2 linked regions of the Bombyx mori genome follow. The protein of the gene in region 2 binds, or shares a complex with, the protein of the main gene of each other region. Links are inferred from orthologs where the notes say so. Each region holds a gene or a part of one and is shown on either strand. Other genes may lie near its edges. The genes, in order: RpL27 and RpL6.

What was found.
Region 1: RpL6 (region 2) and RpL27 share a complex: the UniProt entries of both Caenorhabditis elegans proteins name them as parts of the large ribosomal subunit. The link is inferred for Bombyx mori from reciprocal best matches to the Caenorhabditis elegans genes rpl-6 and rpl-27.

What each region holds. Positions count from the first base shown.
Region 1 is NC_085114.1:13,912,833-13,917,087, forward strand, and holds RpL27 (ribosomal protein L27), read right to left. Parts: upstream 2,833-4,255; 5' UTR 2,823-2,832; exon of another isoform or gene 2,710-2,822; intron 2,624-2,709; exon of another isoform or gene 2,474-2,623; 5' UTR 2,463-2,473; coding exon 2,244-2,462; intron 835-2,243; coding exon 649-834; 3' UTR 608-648; downstream 1-607. UniProt on the Caenorhabditis elegans protein: Component of the large ribosomal subunit.
Region 2 is NC_085122.1:1,367,006-1,371,389, forward strand, and holds the start of RpL6 (ribosomal protein L6), read right to left. Parts: upstream 3,096-4,384; 5' UTR 2,930-3,095; exon of another isoform or gene 2,823-2,929; intron 2,673-2,822; coding exon 2,523-2,672; intron 1,958-2,522; coding exon 1,806-1,957; intron 733-1,805; coding exon 561-732; intron 1-560. Other genes in the region: two pore calcium channel protein 1, read left to right, coding at 3,337-3,490. UniProt on the Caenorhabditis elegans protein: Component of the large ribosomal subunit.

The sequences.
Region 1 (4,255 bases), on a different chromosome or scaffold from region 2:
CACCTTGAGATCTAAGTTCTAAGGTCTCAAGTATAGTTACAATGGCTGCCCCACCCTTCAAACTGAAACGCATTACTGCTTCATGCCAGATATAGGCAGGGCGGTGGTACCTACCCGTGCGAACTCACAAGAGGTCCTACCACCAGTAAAGTATTCGTAGCGAAAACTGACAAGGGCCAGGATGTATATTTATTCTAATAGTGTAAATTTTGCACTAAGCAGAAGAATTGACACATTCAACTTTGATGTATTGAAGGCGAATTGTATATTATTTCGTTTTTGAAAACCAATATTAGGAGACATGAGTAGTGGTCGTTCGTTCATAGTTAATGGATATGAGATGCCAGGGAAGCAAACTCAAGACATTGTCTTTCAACTGGGCTCTTCTCAATCCTTTGAAGGACAAGTCTTAGCACTTTGGACACTAAAGGGAAACTCTTTTTAAGCAAACGCCAGTAATGCAAAAAATAAAGAGATACTAAGAACATCTCAAAAAATTCAATACATTCCTTACAAATAAGGTTTTAATTAAACTCTTTTATTATGAAAAAAATATAAGTAAATAGTGGATAGGTTGTTGTTTCAGTTTGTGCAATAAAACAATGTATTCATTACTCACGTAACGTTTATTTTCTTTTAAAATTACACTTAGAACCTAAGCTTCTGGAAGAACCACTTGTTCTTCCCACTTTTGTACCTCTCTTCAAAACGTACTCGCGTGTTGAAACGCAGCTTCTTACGTTTTGCAGGGTCTTTCAGGTCTTTTGCGCTGAATTTTTCAAAGCTGAAGTCAACTGTATAACGTGTTGGCATCAAGTGATTATAGTTTACAACCTGAAACAGAAAACAGATATTTTCAAATAACTATACAGCAATGATTGTACCTTTTAATGCAGTCCAATAATGATGGAAATTTAAAAAATCAAGAGTTATTACAAGTCCTTCTATTGAATTAAGAAGAAGAAGAATTGTTTAGAAACTCAAGACTTGCACTTTTTTAAATACATGAATACAGAAAAATCTAAAAACATGATTACATCAGTACTTATAATAGTTGATTAAAATTAAAGGAAGAACAGAAGACTATAAGAATCACTAACAAGCACTGTTTAAGATTGTTCGTAAAAATCAAGATAACAAGCTTTTGTTTTTATATTATTATATTAATATAAATCTCTAATACCGTATGTAATAATTGTCAATTGTTTAATTCAATAAGGGACTATGAATCCTTTTCTTTACTACCTCTTGCAATATTCTGTTTTAATAGAAAAATATCCTCAATTATACTTTACATTTAGTGGCAGGGTATGTTGAGTGCCCATTCTACAAATATTATAATCCTCCTCATTTCTAACAGTGATACAGTCTATTTAAAACTGTATGGCATTATGCAAATGCAATCGAATTCATATCACACACTTTTGTACTGTACTGTGTTAAGTATCTGCACTAATATTATGGTATTTATGGTAAATATGTTAAACACTATTCGGGCTGGGGTATATTTGCCAAAGCTAATTTAATAACTGAACAAAACACAGTATTAAAGTCTACAAAAAACAAATCTGTACAGTCATCAAAACACATATATCATTTATTAGTTAAATATTTCATAATAAAGATATTTATAGTTAATTGAAAATTAATGAATGCATTTTACAAATTTGGAAAATCACAATAATGCTGCTCTATTGTAAATTTTTCATTCATGTCTTCTATTCACACAAAAATAACACAAAAGTACTATAAATTTTAATAGAAATCCATTGCTGGACACAATTTTCGACCAAGATTTGCTACACTGACCAGTCCCATGTCAGTTTTATTAACTACACCTGAAATTTTATAATACATTTGAGCAATACTCGTGGATATTATTTTCAATCATGAAGATGATGTTGCCCAAAATTGTTAATAAAATGGTTATCGCATTTATCCTGGTTTGATTTAAATTTAAAATAATATTTTGTTTAGTTTTAGAGTGTCCTGTACACATAATTAAACCTTCCTTTATTTTGGTTCAATTTGGCGTTTTTTGTCATGATATTGTATCTGATCAACACGAGATTACTTAAACCCTAAAAGTAGCACTAATTGAATTTCTAAATATTTCATTTCAATAACTTTGGTCTTAGTAACTTCAGTTCTATCTATTTAGAATAGTTAAATATGGTCATATACTATATTATATACTAATTAACCAGCCGTTAGTTTAATTCAATATTAAAAGGGAATCTTACCTTCACGAAAGGCTTTATCTTGGACCTCTTGTGGATTTTATTCTTTCCCATCCTCTTGTGCACTTTCCGGGGGTACCTGTCGATACCAGCGACGAAAGCATGCCCGTACGGCTTGTCGGAGGTACCTTCGTCGTAATTCTTGACTACGATAGCCTTGCGACCCGCGTACCGGCCACTTAAGACCAGCACTACTTTACCCGGCTTCATTATCTTACCCATCTTGGAGGGATCTGAGAAAAACAAAACTAACCTTAAGATTGGTATTTACAAATTCACCACCAGTATTCAAGGAAATAAGGCTATTTAAACACTCCTTTATGCTTAAACACTTCGTGATTGCTATTTGAGTTTTAATCTACTAGTAAATCACATGTAATGCACTGAAAACAAATTGAAATGTAAGAATAACACAGATTCAAATTCAGTTTCTACGTAAAAGTTTGCAGTGAGAAGGAAAAATATTCACGTTCTTACTATTAGTATCTCACAAATTTAACATACTTGTACGTTTTTAGTTAATTTTTAAACCAATTTTATGGATTTTTCGAGATTATGTATACAACAAAATACAAAACTCACATTCCCTTTACTCGTTGACATAGAAAGAATTAGTGTTACCATTAACAAATTTACTCCAATTTGACAGCTGATTTTTTTTTGACACTTGAAAGATTTCCGATTTTTACCGATGCTCAGGACTTTTGGCGGGAACGTGAGAAGCGAAGTTGTGTGAATTATTTTATTTTGTCTATTTAGTGTTTCTTCAGGTTTAAATGTGTAATAACGGTAGTTTATTAACTGTTTAATATTTGTGAATTCGCGTACCCGTCCTGGTAAAGCGGCAAGGCCTCCGAAACAACCGAATTTATTCAGTTCCAAAAAATCTTACCTGAAGATTAAAGTAGGCTTACCGTATGTTCCTTGTGTAGTCTGTCCGAGATGCGCCGCTTTCGCCGTTGGCAAGCAGAGTAAACTGTAATCCTCGTAATATAGTAGTTAGCCCTTTCTTCGAACATTACAATCCCGATTTATTAGACAAGGAAGGTAGAGCATCGATTATCTGCATCTTGAACTTATCCGTGAGAAGGCAGCGTCAGTAGGCTTCGTTCATATCTAGTCTCTATAGGCGCCTTCATAACAGCAAGGTAACACGATAGTGCCCTTATAGTAGGCACCACTGACCAGTGTGCTTAGACCAAGTTTTTTAACGTTCTCGATAGCGTAAAAGTTAACTCAAATATGTATGAAGTTCGAACGCTTGCCTACGTTTGCCGCTAGGGGTGCTGTTCCAACTCCATAGAAGTTTGAGTTAACTTTTACGCTATCGAGAATGTTAAAAAACTAGCTCTAAACACACTGGCTCACCGAGCTGCCACCCTCCGCCGTCGCCCTAGATAAATCCTGACGAATTCACCTATTCTACTGTCGGTGATGTTGGACGGTTCTGCTAACGCTAGCAGCGACCAAAATATAGGTCACCGACTCGCCGAAGAGCTCGAAGCGATACATAATCTATAGCTTTGACTAAGTTGTTGCTATATCTTGAAAACGATCGCAATTTTGACCCTGTAGCATGACTCATTCGCAAATAAAATTTTTAGGCCTCAGGAGACGTTCAGGTAGTCTTTAGCAAATCTCTACCCTTTCAACTAAGTCCGAGCTCGCTTATATCCGAAAGGTCATGAAAACGCCTTTGGGTAAACATCCATCTTTCCTCCCAAAGAAATAAGAGACTAAGAGAATTATTAAATATGGTAGCCCATATTTTTTTATTGCTTAGATGGGTGGACGAGTTCACATCCCACCTGGTGTTAAGTGGTTACTGGAGCCAATAGACATCTACGACGTAAATGCGCCATCCCCGGTCACCGTTCTCGTCAAACCCGTCGCTTGCGACGAAGGGCTCGACGAGTAAATTAACTCTCAGACACAGCCCACTGAGTTTCTCGCCGGATCTTCTCAGTGGGTCGCGTTTCCGATCCGGTGGTAGATTCTGCGAAGCACGACTCTTG
Region 2 (4,384 bases):
GACGAGCTCACAGCCCACCTGGTGTAAAGTGGTTACTGGAGCCCATAGTCATCTACAACGTAAATGCGCCACCCACCTTGAGATATAAGTTCTAAGATCTCAGTATAGTTACAACGGCTGCCCTACCCTTCAGACCGAAACGCATTATTGCTTCACGGCAGAAATAGACGGCGGTGGTACCTACCCGCGCGGACTCACAAAAGGTCCTACCACCAGTAAAATTCAAATAAGTTTGGGTAAATTAAAGAACCCGCTTTTTTAAGTTTACAATTTCAGCAGTACAAAGTATTGTAGCTATCAGCAACAGCACAATTAAATACCGCACTGAATAACTATATATATTTTCCTTTTTTTATTGCCTCATGCAGCCTGTGGTCCGCCTGATGATGAGCGGTTACTGTCACTCATGGACGTCTAGCAATGCCAGGGTCAGAGCCAAGCTGCCGCTTACAAACTTGTAACTATATCAACATTGATAGCCAAATCAGTGTCTCAATTTTTTTTGTGTATAATTGTATACCCTTAAAAGAAACCAAAAAAAGGATGATTATTATACATACTGCAAAAGGTCCAGTAACTAAAAGCAGACCGCTGGGCAGAATTCCAACAAGTACAACCCTCTTGCCTGCATGTCTACCAGCGAGGAGAATGCAAACAGTTCCTATCTTCAGGTTGGGTCGGATCCTGCGTACATGCTTGCTGAATGGACGGCCACCAGATGAGGCACGGATTCTGGAATAAAAATTGGGAACATTATTACCGTTGTAGTTTTCAGTGTTTGTTTCCACACCTTATCAATGTCCCCTCAGTACAACTAACATTATTATAAAAACCCATTTAAATTTATCACCCTTCCTGATATACAAGAACATAATTACTTCAATTGTATTGCTAATCTATTATTCTCAAACTTAAACAAATAAAGGTAGTTATTTAATGTTTGAAAAAATTGTCAAGTTTAAGGTAATTGAACATATTCTCAGGGACAGTTTTCAATTAATTGAATTTCATGTAAACACCCAGCATTAAACCCACAGATTTTTTTACCTTTTTTTTTATTTTTTTTATTTAGGAGTTTATTTAATGGTAATGATGTTACCGCATAATTCTACATACAATAAGAGGCTAATTGATTAATACACAACTATAATAATAAAATGTCAAGGCTAAGAGACATTGCTCCATGATATTTGAGTGCCTTCTTGATTGTGCATAGTTACTAGGCACTTTCTAACAAGAGATACCAGCACCATATTAATGTTATTATAATGATGTTCTCATATCATTATCATTGGCTAGCAAGTATCAAGCTCATTTAGTATGCATACATTCAATATATGTTGCACATCATCAATAATATCACAATCTCGGCATTTGTGTCAATTAGTTTTACCTCTATACATTCCTTTCTTGAAACTATGGGCCACAAAAGGGTCTGTAACCTGAATCATATATCTGATCTACACAATAATGGAATGGAATTGGAATGCAAAAATTTGCAGAATACTCCCAATGTAGGTAATAGTATAAATTTATAAGTATTTTCACAAGTTCCTTACTTTTTTGCCAGACCTGCCACTCTACAAGGAAAATAAAGACAGGCCGGCCATGTGGCCTCCCAATGTCAGTAATAGTATACATTTATAAGTATTTTCACCAATTGCTTACTTTTTTGCCACTCTACAGAGGTAATAAAGACAGGCCATATGGCCCGCTTGACGTTAAGATGGTCATCATCGCAAATCAATGTCAGAAATGTCAGGGGCATTGCTAAGCCACTACCTACTTATCCTTATTGTACTTACTTCTCCTGAGTGGGGTAGAAGGACTTCCTACGTTTGAGGGGTACTGTTCTGGTTCCCCCATTCTTCTCACCTCCAATCTGCTTTACAACAACAGTCAGCTTCTTGGGCTTCTCAGGCTTAGGGTTCTTTTTGCCAATGAACTTGTATTTAGCCTGTAATTGATTTCAAAATTAGAATGTACAAATATTTTACTTTTCTTCCATAATGTGAATGCAGCATATAACTTAACTCAGGAAAAGTCCATGAATGCCATCAGTGAATGCATGACTATACTCGAGAAAATAAAGTCTAGTTGATGTGTTTGTTTAAAGTGTATAACACTATTTATATAGTAGCGTTTTGGTTAAATCTTAATTTGAATTGCTTAGGTTGATGGACGAGCTCAAGGTCCACCAAGTGTTACGTGTTACCAGAGCCCATAGACAACTACAGCTTAATGCCCACCTTGAGAATCAGATATGAGTTCTAAGGTCTCAGTATAGTTACAACGGCTGCCTCACCCTTCAAACCGAAATGCATTACTGCTTCAGGGCAGAAATACTTAGGGTTTAGGTATTTAAAAAAAAAAGATTAGATTAACAGCGAAACCTAAGTGCACATGGATTTTTGTTTATAAAATTGTTTGTATTTTTATTGGTATAGTTGATTTTAGATTTGCTAAACAAATAGCACGACAATTTTGATTTATATTTGTTTATTAAGAAAATAGGAACTAGCCTTCTTGTGGAACATCTTGGATTTGGAGAAACGCATCACTCCGTTGCCCAGATCATAGTTCCTGGGTTTTTTCGTAGATTTTTTCTTAGTCACCGCACCTGCAGGTGCGGCAGCAGGCTTGGCCGCCGCTTTAGGCTGTGTTGGAGCCATCTGTAAATCGAAAACACAATCTTTAGACCGAACACCTGACTTGACGTTCAAAACTTAGGTTATGTCTATCCAGCCCGTGTTTCCTTGCAAACAAGTAACACTATCGTTACTCGTGGTTATGAATTTGTAGACATAATAAGCAGGCATTACACTACAAATTATATTCAATCAATTCACGACACTTTAACGTCACAATCCTATCTAACCAAAATAATAATTTAGAACTTCCTACATTCCACTAAAATATTTCACAATACCACTTGTTTGAAGGATCCACTATGATATTCCAGCACGAAAACGAAGAAAACGGCTGATTTGGAATCAATTAAAAAGGATTTATTTTCATTAAAAACAACACCAACTCACATTCAAACCGGGTTCAAGAAAAAGGAATCTATGCAGACTTTTTTGTTTATGGATAATGTCATAGTGATGTTACTCATTTATTTTCACATCGATTACATTACCGATTTTTGTTGTCTTTCAAACATTTTTGTGCACACACTAATCTGTATTTTAAACGTTCAATTTAAAAGATTAATTGAAGTAAAAATTCTCAATTGAGTAATTTCTATATTTTAGATAATGACGACTACAATTCCAGGTAAAAAAGAAAAGAAAAAGAAACCCACGTGAAGAGCAACATCTGAACGCATCCAAACAAATGTCAAGAAACAAATTCATTTGGAACGTCAAAAGAATTCAGTTTGCAAAAATGGCTTCTCTGAGGAGCCCGTCTTCGCCATCGGACGGTTATAAAAGATTCAGTGATGATTTCGCTAACACCAGTATCAACAATTACGGCTCGAACGTCTCAAGTAAACGAAAACATTTTTTAATGCACCGTAGCCACCAGCCTAATGTACGCTTTCCTTGTTAACAATACATTAATTGTAATGCAATTAATAATGTTTTTTCAAATTTCATCTCTGTATTAAGCTTCATTTCTGTTGCAACACCAGCTGACGCAGGTCGAACGGTGATCTTTTGTAAAATTGCAGTAAATCCTATATACGTCGAGGATGAGTCATTTCCTACGTGAATCTAACATATGTATATAATAAACATAACGCGACCTAGTTCTTGGAACTAACGTGAATGAGCTTCCGATGGTCTGCTTAATTCTAACGGAACAGATTACGCTGCATGAATAGTTAGCCGCTGTTTTTGTGTTTTTTGTATAGTATTTTAGTGCTTCAAAATCTACTCTAAAGCGTTTGCTATATACATTTAAAAAAAAGTAATTTGACAGTTTACTAATCTCAATGTGTTAGTTTTAACTGTGAAACTCCGAAGAGGTACAATTTTCATAAATAGCCACTATGGTTTGAGCGTGATCGAATGGAACTATTCATTTGTGTATAAATCTGGTTGAAACCACTTTGTTCTGCCCTAATTGTTGACTACAATTGCTAGAAGTATAGTGTGTTGTATGAGACAACTAGAAATTTATTTTTTAAATATGTCAATAAATATCTGCATGAAAATAGAATACCCATCAACTTTAAAATTCGAAAATTGTCTTGTTTACAAAACACAATGATTATAATAATTACTTACAGAATTTAATTTACTTTACGGTCCATAACTTACAAAAGTAGACGTATTTTTTTCAATTTAACCTTGAACTGTCTGATGTGACTTAGTTAAAAAAAAAAACAATAGGTAATTCCAAATACCGTACAATGGGGTAAATAGGGACAAAATCGACC